Diceros bicornis minor: one gene and its partners. The protein of the gene in region 3 interacts with the protein of the main gene of each other region in a biochemical or structural test. Links are inferred from orthologs where the notes say so. Each region holds a gene or a part of one and is shown on either strand. Other genes may lie near its edges.

Region 1 (7,830 bases), on a different chromosome or scaffold from region 3:
CATAGTTTGTACTTTCAAACAATAAATCTGTCTTCATTAAAAATTCTAGCATTCAGACTTCTACTAAGCCGAATTGACCTCTCTTTTAATTATTTTCAAGTTTTATGTTACTGGGTGGACTAGACTGGTTTTCTTTGAGAAGAGAATTCAGAAGCAGATAATTGGAGAGTTTCTGTTTACATTTAATTAATACTAATTTTACTGAGAGTTTCTGAGGTGCTAAAAATGCTGACTTGATTTCTGAAAGCTGTAAACTCTAAATGTATGCCAGTGACTTCAAATTTTTTCACCTGTTGAGGAAACACAAAAATTTTTATGTCTGAAACTGAACTATATTTATAGCAAACAATTTGATAATCCTTAACAACTTGAAGTTCGGGTTTCTCTGTATCAAGTTTTACATCTTTCAATGTATATACAAAAAGTCTTACTTGTATATTCATTTACAATATACATTTCAAGGTATATAAAAAAACAGTTTGGGTTTGTGCTTTTTTTTTTTTTTTTTAAGGGGGGGCTGGTAATCTATTTTAAGATGTCCAAGAGGGAAGAAATAAATGTTTCTAATCATAGACTAGTTCAAGTCTCTTTTTTTAAACTGAGAAACACAAAAGTATATCATATTCTTTATTTTTTTAAAGAATATTTTCTCTGATAACAGAATTACTGCTAGCTCACAATGAAATTCATTTATTTCCACAAACAAAACTTTCCTATGAAACAGAGCTTGAAAACCACTCAGCAATACATATTTAATGACTTGTGTACAGAAAAAAAAACTATGTGTAGAAAAGTAACCCAAACCATACAAACTGTAATACTCAGAAATGCCACAGTATATACTATGAGCATGTCGCTTTATAATCTGGAAATCCAGCTGAACAGAGCTATAATCAACGTCACTATCTTTTTCCTTCTCTGCAGCTGAAGTGAGAACAAACAGTATATTACACTGAAATTCCAATTAAAACAAAGACAGCATCACTATATTTAAAAGGGCAGAAAAATCTATTCTTCAGAACACTTGACTGCCTCTATTTTCCAGCTTCCAAAGTTTCAAGTGTTACACGTTCAACGAATTGTTAACAGCATTCCAATACCCCATCTTACAAGGTCCATATCATCAAAATCTTTTTCACTATTTTAAAAAGGAATACTCTACCAAATCTCACTAACATCACTGAAGTTTTTAACAAAGAGAATTCACATTAAAAGATAACTGCTTGGAATGACTGCTTGTCTTTGGGAAAGTAGTGCTATTATCTCGGTAGTTCACATAAATTGACTAGTAGTAAGATGAATGATGATTAGGGAGAGGAGCATCAAGTGGGAAATGCTATCTAAAATCCCATAGGGCAATACACAGCTAGAGGCAACAGCATCCCTTTCTAGGAGGCAGCTCCATTATTTCATGTAGGCAGTTCATAGCATGCAGAAACGAAAAACAACCAAAAACACCTCGTAAATTTGCCCACTATCCATTTATATTATCATAAATCCCCAAAAGCTTTTGAGAAGGTAGCTTGTCACTGCCGTCTCCCCACCTGGCTCATTCTTGAAAACAGTTTGTTTTAAATATATTTGTATGTAAAAACGCAACCCTACAACCCAGCATAGGGTTATCTTTTAATGTTTGTGTTGCTGAGTTGAGCTGTGGGACGCAAGCAATTCACGCTAAGTGGGATGTTTTACGTTGGGCAACATAAACACGCATTTCCTACTTCCATGGACGCACATTTCCCTGAAAGCACTGCACCTGAGGATGCTGCCCTGTCCCCAGACTCTGAGGCTTTAACTCTAAGGAGTCACGACCTGCGCTCACAGCAGAACCACATGGTCACTTCACTGAGAACGATTATCTGGCCCCAGGCGCCACTCTTCAGCCCACTACCTCTCCGGAAGGGGCAGAGGAGAGCGCTGCTAGGAGGCGAAGAGGAGCGACTGACAACAGAGCTGACACTTCCCCTCCCCTCTCCAAGCCATTTCCAGAAAGAGGCACTTGGGAAACGCAGGGGATGTCCGCGGTCCCACCGGCGACCGACCTCAGAGCAGGGCCCGGCGAACCCGTCCCCGCAAGACATGGCGCGGCCACCTGGCCCATCCTCCGGGGCCAGAGCGGTGCTCGCGAAGCTCGCTCCTCCTGCCCCGCAACCCGGCAGTGCAGATCCAGATCCCGGCCGCCGCACACAGTGTAAACACTCGGCACCCGCCGCCTCCCCGCCCGGGGGGCGCAGCTCTCGCGCGGACCCCCGTTTCCGCGCCTCTTGTCACGCACGGGAGGAAAGGCGAGGAGGGCGGAGGGGAGGAAGACGCGGCAGCCAGCCGCCGAGAGGGCCGGCGCCGGCGGCGTGGGCGCCTGTGCGCGGCGGGGAGGGCAGCCCCGGCGCCCCGCCGGTTCCCGCCCGCGCCCGCTTACCTGCCGGGGTCGCTCCGAAGACTCGCACCACCGGCACCTTCTTGACAGGGGCCTGGGTGACGGGGGATTGGCAGATATCCAGCCCCTGCAGCGGGCTGGCCATGTAGTAGTCGGCAGTCACTATCCGCACTGAAAACATGTTCGCCGCCGCCGCCACCGCCTCCTCTTCACTAGCGACCTGGCAGCGGCAGCAGCGGCGGCGGCGGCTCCTTCCGCAGCGGCAGCCCCACGGCAACGGCGGCGGCGGTGCCCCCTCCCCTGCTCGGCGCGTCCCCCTCCCCTCACACACAGACACTGCGAGCGGCGGCGGGCGGGGCGGGCCTGGCACGGCTGCCGCCGCCTCCTCAGGAGCAGCCGGCGAGGGGCAGCAGGAGAGAAGCCGTGGCGCTGTCGTCGGTGCTGGTGCTGCCGCCACCGCCGGGAATCACACGGGCTCCTCGGTCCCAGGCTGCAGCTCTTGTTGCCATGATGATGATGTCACGGACGCAACCACTGGGGGAGGGGAGACCGGGGTGGTGAGTGGCGAAGGGAGGGCTGTGAGTAGTTGGGGGAGGGGACGCGGAGGGAAAGGGAGGGAGCGGGGCGCGCGCCCGAGCGGGACACCCCGGCGGGGGCCGAGAAGGTGTTTTCTCCCCCGCCCCCGGGCACGTAGCGGGGTAGGAGGCTGGGGGAAAGCTGGGCCGGCGCCCGGCGCGGGGGATCGATGACTCGGCCGGTGGGCACGGCCACCTGGGTCAGGGGCAGCGGAGGGGGCGGCGGAGCGCCGATGACATGGATGGGCTCGGAGGGGCTTGCAGGTGGGGGCTATCCCATGTTCAGGGCCGTTTTGGCGGCTAAGCGGGATTGGCCGGAGCTACGGTACTCGCGCTCGCCTCGCCGACCGCCATTTCACATCCTGCACAGGAGGCGGGGGCAGCCGCGGAGACGGCTTTTTACAAGGTAAGAAAACCCGCCTGCGGGAGGAGGGAGCCGAGGCGCAGATCTCGTGCCTCGGCGGCCTCGCGGGAGGGCGGGCGGCGGAACGGGCGGGGCCAGGCGGACGCAGCTGGCCCTTCTCAGGTAACGCCGCGGCTCCGCGCGTGGCCCGAGGGCGGCGCGAGGGGCGGGGGCGCGCGAGCGCGATCTTCGGCCTATAAAAGGGTCGCCCCGGCGCTCCCTCCCGCCTGTGCGGCGCGAGCCGCCGCGCCCCCTCTTCGTGTGTGCTGCTGCAGTGTCTGCGTACGGCCACTTAATGAGATTTATTCACGCTCGGCTCTGCTCAGCCTTGCCAGGATTTGGCAGATCCAGTGCACAGGGATTTCCCACCGCGGTGTTTTTCTCCCGCCCCTTTCCTTCCCTCGCCCTAGCGTATCCTTTCTTGGTTTCCTTTTCGGGCCCGCAGGCTGCGTCTCGGGCGCGCGCGCGGACATGTAAGGACTTGTCAGCTCCCGGTGACCTCTCTCCTCCCCGCCCTACCCCGGTGGAATGTAGGATTAAGAGTCTTTCAGAGAAATTTTCGGCCAAAGAAAAAGGCCCGTGAGAGTCGCCGCGGTAGATGTGGACTCCCGGTGTTATTCATTAACAGGTTGTGCGAGGTTTTACTACCCGAAGGCATAAAAGCAAAAGGGGGAGGGGACTGTAGACAAAACAACTTTATCCAAAAAGAGCAGGGGGAGTAGGGGTACAGTTGTGAAATCGCAAAAAGAAGGGTAGTAACATGCAACTGTGTTGGCCATTATGTTGGAACCTGTGGGTTTTTGTCTGACTTGGTCACTAATATTGGGCGTGACCTTGGACAAATAATTTGTTTTGGGGGGCTTCAGTTTCCTCATCCGTGAAACGAGAGAGTTTCACTTAAAAATCCATGAGTTTTTCCCAACAAAAAGATTTAAGCAGTAGGAGGCAGAAACCATAATTTCAAGTTCGAAATATGCCACTGAACTAGGACTTTTGACAATCATCTCAATCTACCCAAATTAGAGCTCATTCTTTCACACTTATATATTATACAGGTGTGTTTTAATGGTTATTAGGTTGCCACATATATGAAGAGGTGTGCGAGATCCTCATTTGGAACCGTTGTGGTTCTTCAAATAGGAAAATCAAAAGGCTCAAAGGGACAAATCACTGGTAAGAAGCGGTCTAGAAATTCCATAGCATATAATGCTAATAAGAATTTATGCTCCAAGGGATTTGAGACTGATTACCACAGTAAATGAGCCTGCAGTTTTCAACTCAGAGCATGATTATAAATATAGGTGGCAAGATTTCTACTAATATACAGGGAATTACCTAATAATATTTTTAAGATGCAAAATCACTTAAGTTTCAGAAGGCTGTGGAAGGGGTTTAAAAATAGGACTACCATGCTAAAATGCATTTTCTGGTAATTAAATATTTTGTACAAGCTGAAGGTCAGATGCACAACACTAGTGATTCTCATAGTTAATATTTTGAGATTAAATATTATATAATAATTATATATTATAATTATATAAATATAATTAATATTTTGAAATTTATTATTTTGGGGGGAATGGGGCCTGGAAATTTGTATTACTGGGAACCCCACCCACCACTCTCATGATTGTTAAGTAATATAAAATTGAGAATGCCTGTACTATGCTATAATCAAGCACATCCGTAATATTTAAATTATACCATTCCTAACTAGAAAAAGGTAAAAGCATCAAATTCACAGATCTGTTTCTAGAAAAGGGTTTCTTTCCTCCTACCCCTTGAACAACATCATTTACTTTAAGAAAACGCAGTTGCAACCACAATTCAAATCCTTCTATAACTCCAAGGAAAGAATGCTTACTCTTGAAGAAAAGCATTTGCAGTGTGAAATTAGAATATTGTGTCCATTGCACATAATTGAATTTAAGTTCATGCTCAAATTAAAAACCTGACAATTCCCCCCTACCTAATCACTATCAAATGTGTTTTATAAATATATTCTCCCGAGCTAAGAAAGAACTCTGGAATGTTGAGTCAGAGAATGAAAAATTTAAACCATCATTTGCTATCTAAATGAGTTTGGACAGCTCACTTTTTTTTTTGGAATTTGTTTCCTCATCTATGAAATGGATAGTAATTCCTGTTTTAACCACTCAGGGATGTTATAAGGCTCAAATGAGATAATGTCTGTGAAGTATAATAAACTGTTGACATCCAGAAGTTTAACTCGTCTACAAACAGTAAAATCATTGGGAATTGTCTTACCTACGTACAATATGAGGAATGCCAAAATTAAGCTCTATACTTAATATCCTTAAAGCATCTCTTTTTTTGTTATTGTTGAGTGGGTTTTATTTGCCAGGTGATTTGAGATATAGTGAGAAACAAAATAGATGTGGCCCCTACCCTTATGGAGCTTATAGTGTAGCATCATAGAAATGTATTTTAGTCATATCAATCCACATTTTATCATCTCTTCTAGTTCACTGACCTAGACTCATCATGTCGTGTGTTTAGTAAAAGCCTGCCCGGCCTACTGTGCCAATAATGTTCAATGTGTGTTAGCATCTTCTTGTTAGAACAGAAGGCAATGGCTACCATAATTTTTTGGCAGATATTATAAAATGGCTTACACAACACTCATCCAGTTCCCTTATGGCTTGCTTTTCCGTACTTCAGAAGCTAGAAAATCAAAAACTACAGTTTCTAGACTCCCTTGTAACCAGAGTACTGGCATGAGATGAGTGGTGTGCCAGTAAATGTTTAACAATGGCTGGGGGAAGGGAAAGACCCTGATTTGTAGCATTGGCCAGTTTTCGTGGTGTGAATGTTCTTAAGCTACCAGAGTTACTTCAATGAACGTGGCGTTAGTTGGTGAAGATACTAACAATCACGAGCTTGCTTAGCATATCACTACATATGACCTAATTTCCAGCAATCAGATGCACCCATTCAAGACATAAATGTGAAAGTGAGCAACACGATGGCTCAGCTGCACTCAGGGTGATGGTATTTTCTGGCAAACATCATGGTGGAGGTGTCTGGTTCTTCTGGGCAGCTGGGGAGGAGTTCTGGCATCCATTTTTAGAGTCATAGGTGCTGACTGGCAGGTGGTGCTGGGGTGGGTTTCTGCTAGAATAGCCTTGTGATGCAGGCTATTCTTGTGTTCTTCCTGGTTTGGTTTTTCCTGGATGTTTCTAGCTATGTATTATCCAAGCCTGGTTCTCTGGTCCTCTCAGAGATCTGTGAGCTAAATGCTATCCTTTAATCTCTTTCTGCTTAAACTAGCTCAGTCACTCCCAGCAACATAATTTGTGGGGCTCAGAGCAAAATGAAAAAGGTAGGCCCCCTGGGTCAAAAAGCAAGGAAAAAGTGCCACTATATATATTTAAATATAAAGCTTTTTCTTTCCTCTGTTATCTCTCCCTCGACTTGTCATGATGTTTTTTATTTGCTTTTTAATATCATTCTAAGTAAAGAAAAATTAGAATTTTAAATTATTAGAATGAATTTTACCATTCATCTTTACATTGTGCAATGCCATTTATAAATGCAAATATAAGAGCATTTAACTCATATGTAGAATCACCAAAATTACACAATTCGTATTTCATAGTTTGTACATGCATATGTATTTCGTGCTTATCAGAACAATGTAAATGCTGCTCAAAACCAACTCAACTTTTTATTTCCCTTCTTGATATGAAGCACATCCTACCAACCTGAGTAAGGAAGGACTGAAAAGAAAGGGAACTGTGGGCTGCCCTACCTTTCCCCTTCCTTCTATGTCATCATTTTCAGAGTAAATGGTATTACAGGGAAGTAACACACACAAGTAAGAAAGGATATGATGGGGTTCTTTGGTCACATCTATTTCTTAGGATGCCATTGCCTTCTTTTTGCCCCTGAAGCAAGTTCTGGGTCAGATGGAAAGCATAGCCTCTTGGAACTGTCAGCGCCTCCACTAAATCAGTCATAGATGTAACATGCTTGCCTTGACTCACTCTGTGACTCCCTGAGTTCCTTCACCTCATAGGTCCACCAGAATCCTGTGCTTATGAGGCATTGTGAAGACTGTATGCAAATAGGGTGGCAAGGAAGAAAGGACACACACGTTACCTCCTCTGCTTGCATATATGATTCATTGTACCACTGGACTTCATTTATAAAACAGACATTCAAACATAAAACTATTAAGATTTTCAAAGTAGTGACTGCAGAGCATTAAACCAGGCACTGAGCCCTGTTTGCACAGTCTGCATGCCCGTGAAGTTGACCCTGAGCTCAGTGTTTCTCAAGGGGGCTTCTCCTGGTATTTTGGGTGAAACAGTTCTTCATTGTGCAGGATATTTAACATCTCTGGCCCCTGGGCACTACATGCCACTGTGACAAAAATGCCCCCAAAGAGGAGTTACTGCTCTCCGCTGAACTCCTAGAGTGGACTCCACTCTCTGCAGCTAGAAACCATAATCATT
Region 2 (6,769 bases), on a different chromosome or scaffold from region 3:
ACCAGTAACGAGACATGAAAGAGGGACAGTGAGACAGAGGAGTAAATGAAGGCAGTAAGACGGAAGAAGGGTCTGGAGTTCCCAAGAGAGGAACAGGTCCCTGGTGGTGAAGGAGGCTGAGAGGAAAGCAGAGGTGGTGAAGGAAGCAGAGAGCTCTATCAGCCAGAACCTGGGCAGAGTGTTGAGGTCAAGCCAGAGACCAACCCCTCCTCCCCTCACCCAAACTGATACCTCCAACCTAGAGAAGACCTGCTAGACCCTGAGGAAGGCACGACAGAGACTGGTCCACAATCCCCCACCCTTCAGGAAGTGTGTTCCCTCCTGAAGCACATCTGCTCCCAAGGAGCCTCCACTAGAGACACAAAATCTCTAGATCCCCAGGGATGTATCTTTCCATGCCCACCATCATCCCCAGAAATAAGAAGATTTTAATTGGGCTTAATTAGAGAGTAAGAGGGGGCACGGTGCCTGGTTTTATTTCATACCAAATAGCTTTAAATAAGGAGAAGAGTAGTTGAATTGAATTTCTAAATTCTTTATTAATTAGATTGTAATCATGTCAGAGTAATTAATTCACTTCATAATAAATCAGTTCACTGTTCTCTATAAGTAAAAATTCAATTTGCTCCAACAATTAGTGAGCAATATAATAGATGAAGCACTGGGCTAAACACAGATGGAAGCATAGAAATTAGGAGAACATGAATCCCAACCTAAAACTCACTATCTTGTTGGATGGGAAAGGAAACAGGAGTTTTTTAACAAACCAGAAGGAACCAAGAAAGGATTAAACTGCAAGCTGGCTTTGAATGCTATCTCTAATGTGCCTTAAAAATGTATTTTGTTTTAAGTAATATATTATATGCAATCCTACTACTTAATCAATTGTTAGCATCAAAGAATCATAGAGTTAGAAAGTATTCTGCAGTCTCCCTCCCCACTTCACCCCAAATCTTATCCTTCTATTTATCTCTCTCTCATTAGTTTTGGGAAATAATCAAAGGATGTGATTGGTGAGTAAGAGCCAAAAGGAAATAAACTCTTTTGCTCCTGGCATTACCCCATCCCCAGGGTGGTCACCCCCCAATGCAGTGTCGTGTCAGGAAGAGTAAATTGCCCTTTCTGACGCCATAATCTGCCATGATCTTCCCGTCTTCCAATTTCTTTCCATTGCAAGTCACGATCTGTTTCTCAGGAGTTATAGCGGTCTTGGCCTTGATCATCTCTTTCACCTGGGCCACTGAGCTGGACCTTCGCACCTGGAGGAGGTGCCTTTGGCCCTCATCACCTGACTCCACCAGAGTCATGTTCAGCTCCTCATCACTGGGCTTCACCACCTTCAGGGTGAGGTGGATGGTCGTCTCCTTGTCAATGCCATAAGATGATAGCTTCCTCATGGGCTTTAGGGTCTTCGAACCCAGCAGAAGGATCTGGTCATGCACGGGAACCTTGGTCTTAGACCGGACATGTTCATTGATCTTCTTCACTCTGTCTTCCAAGTAGGCAGTGAAGGTCATTAATTTCCATTGCTGAGAATGGACATTCACCTGCACAATGAAGGCCAACAGACAGTTGCCTAGATTGCCTGCCACCTTTTACACTTCTTGCTCCCCCTCCTTAATTGCTTCTGCCCTTCACTGCCCATCTGATCCTCTAGCTTCTTTACAACAAGCTGTGTCCCTTCCTTCCTTGGAACTTCTCTTTTGGAATTTTCAGGTTATAACACAAACAATAAAATCAGTCTTATTCCTTTATAACCATACTTCTTATCCATTTCACAATATCATTAACGATTTCCCACTTTATTTACCTGCCTCCTATCTGGATAAATTTTGTCAAATGTCAAAAACTAAATACAACTACAAAGCATCCAAAGATGTATATCAGACTCTGGGGAAGCTCACCCCTGTGTTGTCACTTGAAAGCCTGGGAGGACCTCCCTCACATTCTGTTCAAAAATATCTTCCCAATCTAGATGTCACAGACATTTCTTCACTGGAGTCTGTGCAAAGCACTGCCCTCATTCCAGGTTCTCTTTATAGTGCATATATTCTTGCATAAGGTAATATCAGATCATTAACAACTTAGGATAAATGAGTTTTGTGAACCTCTCTTTTGAGAGGAGAAGGAAGCTTAAGTTTAAGAGCTCTGGGCCTTGAACAGGATAAGGGGAAAAGGGGTCAAGACAGTATTTCCACAGTTTCAAATCTCATCAGCCCTGTTAAGCACAAAGCCCACTCCCACTTCCTACCATTTATCCCTAACAGTGGCCAGTCCAAGGTCTGACATAAAAGAGAACTCAGGAGCCAAATGGCCAGCTTCTCTTCACAAAAGCTTCCTTTACCTTCTGTAGCTATCAATGCCTATCTCATCCCCTTCAAGATGCTCTCCCAGTCACGCTACCTCCCTGAGCACTGTCCCTCATCCATTCCTGAGCTCTCTCCCCCATCTCTTGAAGGTGCTTTCCCTTTCCCCATCCCCATTATCAAACCCCAACTTACATAGAGGCAGGTAGCCATCTCAGCAATCAAGGGAGTAGAAACAGGAGCCTGAGGAGACTGCGAGTGCACCCAGCTTATATATGAACAGCTGAGTTGGAAATCCCCTGCCTGATTTGTTGTGTTTGTCTAGATTTCCTGTGCTCTCTGTTCTTGTATAACTTCATAAATTTTCTTTCACTTTTGCTTACAGTGACTCAATAAACAAAGAATACTTTCTGTTCAAGCCCTTCTCCCCTCAGCCAATACATCTGCCTTCCTTAATCCAAGCATGGGTTGGTGCTTCTCTGTTGAGAATTTTTCCCTGATTAACAACCCACCACTCCCAGTCCTGACTTATGACTGTCCAGTCTGCAACCCTGGGCCCTCACTGGCTTGAAGACCTTTAAACTTGGTGGTCCTCTCTTGCTGCTTTTAAGAACCTCCCATCAGTCAGGGGCCTTCCTGAGAGCACGTACACCCAGGAGAGGACAGAGGTGTGGAGTGATGTGATTATGAGCAGCCTCTCACACTAGCCTGGCAGGATGTGTGAAGCAGCCTCGAGAAGACGTAGAATAAATAACCCTGGACTGAGAAGTGACATGACGGTGCCACTTGCTACATTACCTTGGGCAAGTCTGTTCACCTCTTTAGGTGTTGGTTTTCTGATCTATAAAATGAGATGATTGAGAGAATTACTAAGTGTCTTCCAGGCTCAGAAAACTTTGTTTATAAAATGTCCTTTACAAAGAACTTCAGATTCCTGGGTCTTGAGGTCTCCGACTCACTTCTTCCCCTGTCCCAGAACCTGCAAACCAAATCCACTACTTGAGAACAATCCAAAGCCAACAGTCAAATGCTGACTCCCCCCTTCCACACACTAAAGCCATCACACATCCACTCTCTCACCTCAGTGGCTCTACTTTCCCAGCTGTACTCCTGGACTCTCCTCACACTGCCATCTCAGATGCCTACGGTGCTGCTCACTGCCTGGCCCTTGAGATTGGGATTGGGACAAAGAGAGAGTACATGAGCTGTGTGCCCTCAGGGAACTGACTCGATATCACTCTGATCCTCCTAACACTCCAAATTACTCACTCCCCTCTCCCAGACTCTCAGGACATTGCCACAAAACCCATTTTTTTAAAAAAAAGGATTTATTTCAAAGTAAAAAGCTCATAAAAATGCCAAGTTATCATCTTTGTTGGCTGTATTTTCAGTGGCCATTTACTGTATCTTCACTCAGTGACAGATTTCAAATGATCCCATTTTATTCCAGGGGTTTCCATCATGGAGAACTTGGATTTACAGAAGTGCCTGCATAGAGTAATGGGATCTAAGAGGTCATTCCAATATTTCAAAAATCTTAACATAAATCATGTTCTTCTATTTGAAGCTCTTAGTTAATAAAACTGAAAAAACTAATTATTATCTCAATGTATTTTTGTGGGGTAGACATACTTTTTTTAAATACATAGGGTGAATATGAAGAGGGAAGAGTGTGTGATGGAATAGACTGGAAACATGGGCACCTGCTAGTCTCCCTTCAGATATCTCTCCAGGTTCCTATTGTCCTCTGTGTTTAGAAACCAGGATTGTGACCTTTAGCTGGTGCACAGCAGCAAAGGCTGCCTTGCATCTGCTATCCAATAGAATTTGGGTATTCTGAAACATCACCAGTGGCCAGGCAGAAAATGTCAGATCAGGTTGAGGGTGATAGAGAAAGAGAAAGCCCTGCAGTGGGGTAGTGATGGGAAGCGTGGAAAAAGAGAGAGGAAAATCTATAAAAAACACAGATTGAATAAACTGCTTTCACTTTTCAAATTTATTTGCACCCATTATCTTCTTAGATCTTCACATCATTTCTGTAAAGGGAAGAGGGAGATTAAATGTTTAAGGCTGCTTAAAATTAAATTACTCTCTTCTCATACATTTTCCCTCTTTGCCCTTCTTGTTCCAGTAGCCTACACCATCTTTATGCCAATGTCTGCATTCTCAGGGGAAGCAGGAAACCTTAGCCGGAAGCTCCAGGAGGGGGAGTCTTGGAATGACATTCCCCAGGAAAGATATTTGTCTGCTGATGCCCCTCAGATATATAACCACCACCCAAACTGAGCTGCAGATACGTAGGTCTAGCTGCTTCTCTGCACAGTTCCCTGAGTTCCCTGCATATCCTTAAACATGCCAAGCTCTCTGCCACCAGGTCATTGAGCATGCATTTCCCTCCAACTCTACCCCCAACATCATGAATTTATAAGAATATGCACTATAAGCAGCATCTCCTCCAGGAAGCCTTCCCTAACTCTCTTCCTTCCTATTCTGTGTTATGTGCCCATCTTCTGTCCTCTCATACTCCCTCCACAAGCCTCTCAGAGCACATTTCTTCAGCAATAAGAGCATCTGCTTACTTGTCTGTTGCCCCAGTAAACAGTAGGCATCTTGAGGGTCATGACTACGTCTTAATTAGCTTGTATCTTCAGCACTTCCCGGGCATGCTGTCTAGCATAGTAAATAATAAATATTTACTAAATCCATGAATGAATTTCTAAATGAATAAGTAAGTGAATAACTAAAAATGGAAAATAACATTTAGTGAGTACTTATTATATTTCAGGAACTGCACGAGACATTATTAAATGGTACCTCATTAACTGTTTCAGCATTCTAATGAGGTAAATATTAGTATCTTTATTGATAAGCAAGCTAATCCATAGTCATATTAGTAGTAGCTGGTGAGCAAGAGTTCAAATGCTAATCTCTACTTCTATAGTCCTTATCTTCTTCTTATCATATTGTGCTTCAGTGGAAAGAGAGGGGGAGAGTGCATGCACACATAGGCCTGTTTATTACAGGAAAGGTACAAGTTGGGGGAAGGAATACAGAGAGACAAAGGAAAGCAGAGGATGCAAGGAGCCTTGGGATGAGTGACAGCAAGAAGAGTTTTGGGGCCCATATGTAGGTAGGAATAGTCCTAGGTGGCAGGCTCTGCCCAGACCACTCTATCCTCCCCGACTCGGCGGAAGTAAGCAAAGAGCCTGTGAGCGCAGGTGTCGGAGCCTGGAGGAAAATTGCAGCCTGGTGCAAGGTAGATGAGAACTGCTCTCCTGGGACTGTGAGTATTAAAGAGTGCCACTGTCATGCAACTCCAGGTGGCAGTACAGGAACCTCCCACTGGAGCTGGGGATTTCAGAGGATTCCCTACGTAGACAGGATCTGGATTCTGAGAAACAGTGTCCTTTTAAGGAATGAGAATAACAAATCTGGGCTCTGATCTCCCTCTTCCCTTCCTCTGTGAAATTCCCCTCCCACCCAAGGCCAGGGCGAGCTCTTTCCCAGACACCCTGGTGCCACTTTGCTGACCACAGGTAGGAATTCTTTTTGGGACCTGACCTCCTCCTTGCTTGTTACCACATGTCAATCTGACTTATTTTTTTCTCTGTGCCATAATAAATTTTTTCAGAGACAGAAAGATCTGTTTTCATTTGCCCCTCTAACAAATTCAGAAGATCAGCCAACGTGAAAGATCATGCTATAGAGATCTTGCTAGGTTATAAAACAAATGTATCCTGTATCTACAAACCTCCTAGCTTGGCCCTAGCTGATGGGTGGTCTTAGGCTAGTCACTGCTTCCATTGAGGCCTCTTTCCTGTCTCTTTACTAATACCCATGAAAGAGTTCGTAAAACTGCTTTGAGATCTAGAATATTGCTTCTGAAATGCCAACTAAACTCAGTGAAAAAGCCACTGGGAGTTCTTGTTTATTGATGGATGGAAAAAAAATTTGTTCACTCTCAAAGAGGGACAATTTGGAAATACTATAAAAATTAAAAATGGACATGCCAAACTAAAACAACCCAAATATCTTACAGTAATAGGGAAATAGATAACTGAATTGTGGAATATCATCAGCAGTGAAAACGGACGGATTACACCTGCAAGCAACAATATGGATGAATATGCCAGAAAGCTCCTGAGTAAAAAATACAAGACCAAGGAAACTACATAAAGTATGATACTCTTTATAAATCTTAAAAACAAGCAAAACTACATAGAGAAACAGAGAGATAAGCTACTTTGAAATTCAGAGTATGTTCGCTTTTTAACAGAAACAAAGCCCAATCTAAATGCTAATGTGAGTTACTTGAAGATTTTCAACGGGGAATGAGTCACTTAGGATCCCTCTGATATGATCTCATCTGGTCATATTCAGAGCCTAAAGTTTAACTGTGAGAACTTAATGTTTGATAAAAGCAATTTATTGAATGGCACTAATGTGTGTTACGTTAATACTTA
Region 3 (7,732 bases):
GAGAGTAAGGAAGAGGAAGGAGTTGGGGACAGCTCCCAGGTTCCTGGCTTACATCAATAGTTGGGTGGCTGTCCATTCAGAGAGGAAAGAGAAGTGAAATGGAGATGATCCTAAACTTAGTTTTTAATATGCTGAGTTTGAAGTATCCCTGAGACAGCCACATGAAGATATCAAGAGAGCCACTTGATATATGAGCTTAGAGTTCAGAAAGACTTGGGTTAGATGTAAGTTTGTGAGTCAACTATACAGATGTTGTTAATGGAGCTAGGAACGTGTCAGAGATCATCGAGAGAGAGATTATAGTGAGAAGAGGGCCTGCAATTGACCCCTGAATAAATCTAGGAAATTGGGATAGTATATCCAGGAATCAGCAGGTTTTTTTTTTAAAGAGACAAAATAATTCAGTAATATTTAAGGCTTGTGGGCCACCTAGGTCTCTGTTGCATATTCTTTTCAAAACAACTCTTTAAAAACGTAAAAATATTCTCGCTGACCCCTGGCATATATCAACAACTTTTTCTCAGTTTAGCTCTGAAAAGGAGGAGATTAGGTGGTAATTTGAAGATTTGAGGTAGGTGGTAATTTTTCTTTAAAATTGGAGAGAGATGAAACCAACGGGAATAATCCAAATCAAAACAAAGAAGTCGAAAATACAACAGAAAACATAGGATAAAGTCCCTCAGAAGGCTAGAGGGATGGGATTCAAAACAGATTGAACAATTTGCCTCTAAGGAGAGCAATTCCTCCATTTTAACTAAACTAAAAGGAAGAAGTTAAATAGGATGGTCTAGATACATCTGAGGTGTCTCAAAGGAGACAATCCAAAACACCAGTAGCTTAGGTAAGTATTGCTTCTTCATCAAATTAAGATGAAGACACAGCTCTATAGTTGCCTAGAGGTTTCCAGGCCAAATAATCTGAGTATAGCCCTATAAATAAGTATGGGAAACTATGGGTAATTTAGCTCTGAAGTTAATAAAAATACAATAATGTAATTTTAAAAATGAAGCTACTTGAAACAATATATATATGAGATTCATGAATTTAAAAATTAAAAAAAAAAAGATGACCACTGTAGTGTGTTTTGGAACTAGTATTTTGGATTATCAAATGGGAACATTTTACAACACAGAAAAATTAAAAGAATCCTAAGTGTTGAGAAACATAAAAGAGAAACTAATAGGAATTCTAGAGGAAGGAAAAAAAGGAATAGATGGAAAACAAGTATTGATCCAACAATACAGCAACTTCTTGAGCTAAAAAAAATGAGTGTTCAGATAGAAAAAGCTTACTGACTCACAGGCAAGATTTTTAAAAAAGACAAATGGAAACAGGTGAAAAACAAGAAAACTCTACTGGGCTCTACTATTTAGTACTTGTTCTTTTTTTTTTTCTTTTTTTAAGTTTAGTTCCCACGTTGAATCCAATTTTATTTCCTTGATCTTAATAATGACAACTTTAGACTCCAAGCAGCTACAGAATATATATAATATTAAGAATGTATAGTGGATTTTTCTCAGATAATGAACACCATCATAATTATGTAAAATTCCAACTTGCTCCATTTGGCCACATGAATTGCACGAGTCATTTCTAAGGGAGTTGATGGAGGCTGTCTTGTTAAGCCGTCTCAGATTCCTCACATCAAAATATTCAGCTCACTCAAAATGTGGTGGGGGAAGGGTGGGATTTCTTTCAATTTACATTGTTTGCTTCCTCCCAGCTGAGTCAGTATATCTGAGATGGTAGTGTGTTTTACAACCCTATGTACAGAGCTGAAAGATGACCACCAAGACGCTAGAAAATGTGGATTCTAGAAGGCCTGCAAAACTCAAAACCGTTTCCAACAACTGAATACCTTTTAGTTGTTCCACCACATTATTGAGGTATTTTATGAGCTCCGGATCAGTAGTTACAAGCAGGGTGAGTCCATATTTCTGCACTCGAGTAAAGGTTTCAGATGGATATATGCCACGCTGATATAAAATGCTATTGATGCCAAATGCTGAAAAGAAAAAAAATGTTGAACTTATTATCACTTTGTAACTCGGGAAAACAAAACATTTAGATCTGGCTTTGGTTTCATTAATGGTATGTCTGTAAATGCCTGAACAGACGTGTTTGTGCGGGTCTTGCTGAAAGCACAGTAGGTACAAAATTTCATTAAAAATCCTTGAAGTCTTGCTTCTAAGTAAAAGAGAGAAAGCAATGCCTGCATTTTGTGGCAATAAAAGAAAAATGCCAAACTGCATTAATCTACCACTGCCAAATTTCATTTCATTGTAATCCAAGTCCAAATTCAGATTATGTGGTTCGGGGATGTCAAAGAGGCTTCGGCGCGCGTTAGCAACTGACTGGCTGGTCCAAGGCCCCGGGCAAACCTCTCTCTGTCTTTTTCCTCCTTTTCCTCTCACAAGTCCTGCCAGGTTCTAACAGAAGGAAGGACCGGCCAGGTGCAGAACAGCGCTTCCCAAAGTCGAGTGCATCACCGCCAACCCCAGAATCACCCACACGTGCCCCCCGCCCCGGTCGCATTACGTCCCAAGGCCCTGGGGCGGCGGGGGGGCAGACACGGATCTGCACTTTAAAGAACCGCCCCAGGGCAGGGGCCGTACCCGGCGAGGCAGGCCGCCGCAGCACCGAGGCCTCCTCCTCCGCCATTAGCACCGCGGCCGGGGGAGACGCCCGCACCCGCCTCTCCCCAGATTCCTCCGGCCGGACGGGAGGCCGGGACAGACAGGGCTCGAGTTCGCGGCCGCTGCGGGCCCCCCGGCTTCCCCGCCGCGGAGCCGAGCCGCGGGCCTACCGGGCGGCCTGCCCCGGCCTCCCCGCCCCCGGCCTCCGCCAGGAGGACTCACAGAAGAACTCGGCCACGATCTCGGCGCTCCCGCGCAGGGTGATGCCTTGCTCCCGGGAGAGCTGCAACGCCATGGCCAGGCCACAGACGGAGGCGCGCGCTTCCTCGGGGGGGCAGGAGCAGCAGGGGCTCTCGCAGCAGTTGCCCGCCACTCGTTTCAAAAGTAACGACGCAGCACGCCGTCGGGCCCTTCGCGCAGGCGCGACCAGCCTCTAAGCCCCGCCCCCGCGACGGGCGCAGGCGCAGTGGGTCAGCGTGGTCACGCTGTGCCGGGCGTCCTAACCCGGTGGGTGTCTGCGGGCAGTTCCCGTTGCGGTCGGCTAGGTGGAGCGGAGGGAGGAAGACGGCACGTCCCGGTCTTGTTGGCCGCTCCCTAGGCCTGCAGACTGAGCGACCGAGGAGCACAGATTCTGCGTTCGGAAGATATTTTCAAAATGATATGAACTCCCCAGGGATCCCTAGTGGAGGGCTGAGACTTGGGCTGGACACGTTGGGAGTTCGGAAGGCAGCGGCGCACAGCCGAGCCTCGGCTTTAGAGGCCTCGATGGCTGTGGGAGCGCGGCTTTTCCCGAGAAACTGGGGTGGGGGCCAAAGGGGCGAACCGCAGCCGTTTTTCTGCCTAGTCTGCGTCTGCCCTGGGCTCCGCCCGCCTCCACCCCCAGCCCCCTGCGCGGCCGAGTCTGGGGCGGCTGGGGGTGCAGCTTGCTCTCCGTCCGCCCTGCCCACCCGCAGGCGGCTGGTCAGGAACAAGGTCACCTCGCCAAAAAGGCCCCTCAACACTGAAGAACTTTTCCGTGGATTTTGACGCACAAATTCAATGACTTCATGTTAGGATGAGAGGTATAAAGGAGATGGTGCACAATTAATGTTCATGGCCGTTGTGAAACGAGTTTATTCTTGTAGCAGGTGGAAAGATTATTTGTAAAATGCAGTCTGAAAAACTGTACCAGACATACTGTGTTATTTAATTATATGAGAAATGGCTGAGTGTATTAGTTTTCTATTGCTGCAGAACAAATTACCACGAATTAGTGGTGTGAACAGGCGTTTATTATGTCAGTCCCGTAGGTCAGGAGTCTGGGCGTGGCCTAGCTGAGTGTTCTGAAATAAAGGCGTCTGTGCGTGGGATCTCGTCTAAGGGCTGGGGTCCTCTTCCAAGCCCCTTGGTGGTTGGCAGGATTAACGTCCTTGTGGTTCTTTGTCTTGCCAGCTGTTGGCCAGAGGCCAGGTTTGTGCCTTTGCCAGGTACAGTAAGCCTTCTCACACTTGTAGTCTCCCTGACTTCAGGGAGTTCCCTTTTAAGGGCTTGCCTGACTAGGTCAGACCCGGTCAAACAGTTTCTCCTTTGATGAACGTAATCCCAGAAGTGATAGGCCCTCATATTCACAGGTTCTGGCCCCGCTCAAGGGAGAGGAGTTATATAGGATGTGCTCCCTAGAGACCAGGAATTTTGGAGGCCATCTTAGAATTCTGCCTATCACAGTTATATATCAGATTTTGATCACTTTGAAGATTAAAACATAGGTATAATAAGTAAGAGGCTGACGACCCAACAAAATATTTTCCTTACATCCTTCAGTCTCTGTGGTACGTGTGTGTATCTGTGTGTGTAAATCACCATCTTTTCACTCCTTGCACCAGGAACTTGAGTTAGAGTGCAATGCTACCTTACTGTGTATACAAATTGTCTCTCTTTCTAAGGAACTTTATGTTAATACTCAGCAATTCAGGAAAGACTTCCTTAGGTTTCATAGTAATATAGCTTGTAAATTAGCTGAAGATGCAAATAATTGTTAGTATAATTTTGGAGATTCTAGAATTTAAAAGGCTAGCAAAATGTATTTTTCCATGTATAGATGAAGTATTTTTTAAATACTTTATTTGTGCTCTGTGAGGAGATATAAGAAATAATTAAGGCTTAGAAGGTGTGGTCTGTGCTTTTTGAGTTTATAATCTAGTTTTGATTAAATATGCATACTTAAGGGGAAAAAAAAAGAAAAATTAAAGGCTTACAAATTTGACCTTACTTGCCTTCTGCCTACCTGGGCAGCCCTGTACTTTCCTAGTCTGCCTGATCCTTTAGTAACTTTTCCATCTCAGGGTTTTTCATAATGTGCTTTCCTCTGCTTAGAAATTTCATTTTATCTGTTCAAATTTCAAGTTATGTTTATATTCTTCTCTTTTTTTTTGCTGAGGAAGATTCACCCTCAGCTGACATCTGTGCCAGTCTTCCTCTATTTTATATGTGGGATGCTGCCACAACATGGCTGCTGATGAGTGGTATAGGTCTACGCCCAGGAACTGAACCAGTCCGCGGAAGTGGAGCGCACCGAACTTAACCACTAGGCAATGGGGCCAGCCCCTATATTCTTTTTTTAACTTAAATGTTGTATTAAAGAAATTTTCTTTGACCCCTCAGACTATAAGGTCCTGCTCTTAGGCATTTTCATAGCATTTCATAGTGCTATTTCAGAGCATTGCTTTCAAGGTCAGAATGAAAATAATTACCTTGTTATGATTATAGAATGATTTGAGTTCCATCTTCCCTGTTTTGGTGGAGGATCCATGATGATATTTGGTGGGTGCTCCACAAATATTTGTTGAAGGAATGAGCATTTGAATAGTTTCCTAGGAAAACTTGACAGAAGAACCGAAAACATTTTCCCATTGGAGAGCAGCTTGGATGGATGAGGTGAGGCCACATTTAGGGAGCTCTGAATACCCATCTATGTTGATTGAACTGGAAGTACCAGGGATTTCTAGGTTCTTAGGATTGAAATGATTAGCGGGACATTTTCTCAGGTGTAAATTCAGTAATGGTTGTAGAAATGATTGTGTACAGGACGACTGTGAGTGGTAGTCCTCAAACTTAAGAATGTGAAAGAATCACTTGGGTATTTTGCTAAATATGTATTTTCCTGGCTTCTATTCCCCCTTCTCCAAGCCTGAGTCAGTCCAGTACCACAGCTACTAGCCATGGGTGGCTGCTTCAGCATTTAAAATGTGCTGGTCTGAACTGAGATATGCTACAAGTATGAAATACCTGATTTCAGAGACGATAAAAAAAGAATGTAAAGAATTACATTGATATGTTTTTTAATTAATTACATATTGAAATGATATTTTACATGCATTGGATTAAATAAAACATATTATTAAAATAATTTCACTTGTGTCTTTTTAGCTTTTTAATCTGACTACCAGAACATTTAAAATTACATATGTCACTCATGTTATATTTCTATTGGACGGTGCTGGTCTACTTTATGGGGTTTAAGAGATGACGTGTTTTAACCAGCGTCCCAAATGATTCTGATGCAAGTTCTTAAATCACTTTTTGAAAAGCAGTAGACTATGATGGATATTTTAGCCATGCAGGCCTAGGAGGTTGAGAGCCTGGCCTAGATGGATGCCAGAGAGTTTGAATAAGAAGGCACCACATCAGGGGCTGGCCCTGTGGCTTGGCGGTTAAGTGCATGTGCTCCACTACTGGAGGCCTGGGTTCGGATCCCAAGTGCGCACCGACGCACAGCTCGTCCAGCCATGCTGAGGCGGCGTCCCACATACGGCAACTACAATGCTGTGCAACTATGACATACACCTTTCTACTGGGGCTTTGGGGAGAAAAAGGAGGAGGACTGGCAATAGATGTTAGCTCAGGGCCAGTCTTCCTCAGCAAAAAGAGGATGATTGGCATGGTTGTTAGCTCTGGGCTGATCTTCCTCCCCCCCCAAAAAAAGAAGGTACCGCATCAGAGCAAGACATTTTAAAACAAGAATTGAGTTGATGACTGATATGGAGGAAGAATGAAATGGTAGTGCAGATAACTCCAAGGTGGCAAGCCTGTAATACAGAGTAGAGTTGTTCAAAGCTATGGGATATTAGGAAGAGCTGCCCAAACTCTGAACCTGTTCTATTTCTTATTTATCATGATAACTCTTAACGATTCTAGGGAGAGGTTCAAGATGGCAGTGCAGGAAGGCCCTAAACTCACCTCCTCCCACAGATACAAGAAATTTACAGCTACATATGGAATAATTTTCCTCTGAAAAGGACCTGAGAACTGGACAAACAGCACCTCTGCAGCAAAGATAAAAGAGATGCATCAAGAAGGGTAGGAGAAGCAGAGACTTGGTCTCGGCCGGGAGCCCATCCCAGTGTGATGTCCCACAATCAGGAAGGGATCTGTAAATATGGAACTTTCCCTTGAGGATTGAAGGGATTGTGCCACACATCAGGCACTCTGATCCTTGAGCCTGCCACCAGAAAGACAAGCCTGCAAAACATCTAGTTTTGAAAATCAACAGGGATTAAGTCCAGGGGAAACACGGAACTGTAGGAAATGGAGAATCTGCTCTTACAGGGCTTGTGTAGACACACTTGCCTTGAGATCCAGTGCAAAAGCAACAGTTTGAAAAGCGCCTAGAGCATAAGTGAGGGAGACCCACTTACCAATCCTACAGTGGCTGATGGAGAGGCAGGGACCTGCAGAAAATCTCTCCAGAGACAGAAACACTGGTGGATGTCATTTTCACAATCTCATTCTAACTTCATCATGACGGAGCTGGCAGACGCCACTTCTGGTGCCCGTCCTTAAACCTGTTAACACCAGTGAGCATGCTCTGCACCTTGCCCACTCCATACAGCAGCTGCGCCACAACCAGGACAGGTGAGCACCCTGCACCCTGCCCTCCCTGCACAGCAGCCACACGGTAACTGGGCCGGGCAAGTGCCCAAAGCCCCACCCACCCCAAGCAGCAACTGCACTGCAACCAACCTACGCAAGCGTACCACACCTCCATCTCCCTGTGTAGCACCTGTGCTGCAACCAGGCTGGGTGAACACCCCACACATAGCCCACCCCGTGCAGCATCA

Evidence for each region.
Region 1: the proteins of MAD2L1 (region 3) and REV3L form a complex in vitro, tested with the Homo sapiens proteins (2 studies listed by BioGRID). The link is inferred for Diceros bicornis minor from reciprocal best matches to the Homo sapiens genes MAD2L1 and REV3L.
Region 2: the proteins of MAD2L1 (region 3) and UBD form a complex in vitro, tested with the Homo sapiens proteins (2 studies listed by BioGRID). The link is inferred for Diceros bicornis minor from reciprocal best matches to the Homo sapiens genes MAD2L1 and UBD.

Annotation. Positions count from the first base shown.
Region 1 is NC_080762.1:23,945,487-23,953,316, reverse strand, and holds the start of REV3L (DNA polymerase zeta catalytic subunit), read right to left. Parts: upstream 3,020-7,830; 5' UTR 2,556-3,019; coding exon 2,417-2,555; intron 1-2,416. UniProt on the Homo sapiens protein: Catalytic subunit of the DNA polymerase zeta complex, an error-prone polymerase specialized in translesion DNA synthesis (TLS). Lacks an intrinsic 3'-5' exonuclease activity and thus has no proofreading function.
Region 2 is NC_080753.1:36,034,495-36,041,263, reverse strand, and holds UBD (ubiquitin D), read right to left. Parts: upstream 2,758-6,769; 5' UTR 2,520-2,757; coding exon 2,502-2,519; intron 1,548-2,501; coding exon 1,077-1,547; 3' UTR 520-1,076; downstream 1-519. UniProt on the Homo sapiens protein: Ubiquitin-like protein modifier which can be covalently attached to target proteins and subsequently leads to their degradation by the 26S proteasome, in a NUB1-dependent manner.
Region 3 is NC_080750.1:13,586,770-13,594,501, forward strand, and holds the start of MAD2L1 (mitotic spindle assembly checkpoint protein MAD2A), read right to left. Parts: upstream 3,016-7,732; 5' UTR 2,932-3,015; coding exon 2,859-2,931; intron 2,006-2,858; coding exon 1,859-2,005; intron 1-1,858. UniProt on the Homo sapiens protein: Component of the spindle-assembly checkpoint that prevents the onset of anaphase until all chromosomes are properly aligned at the metaphase plate.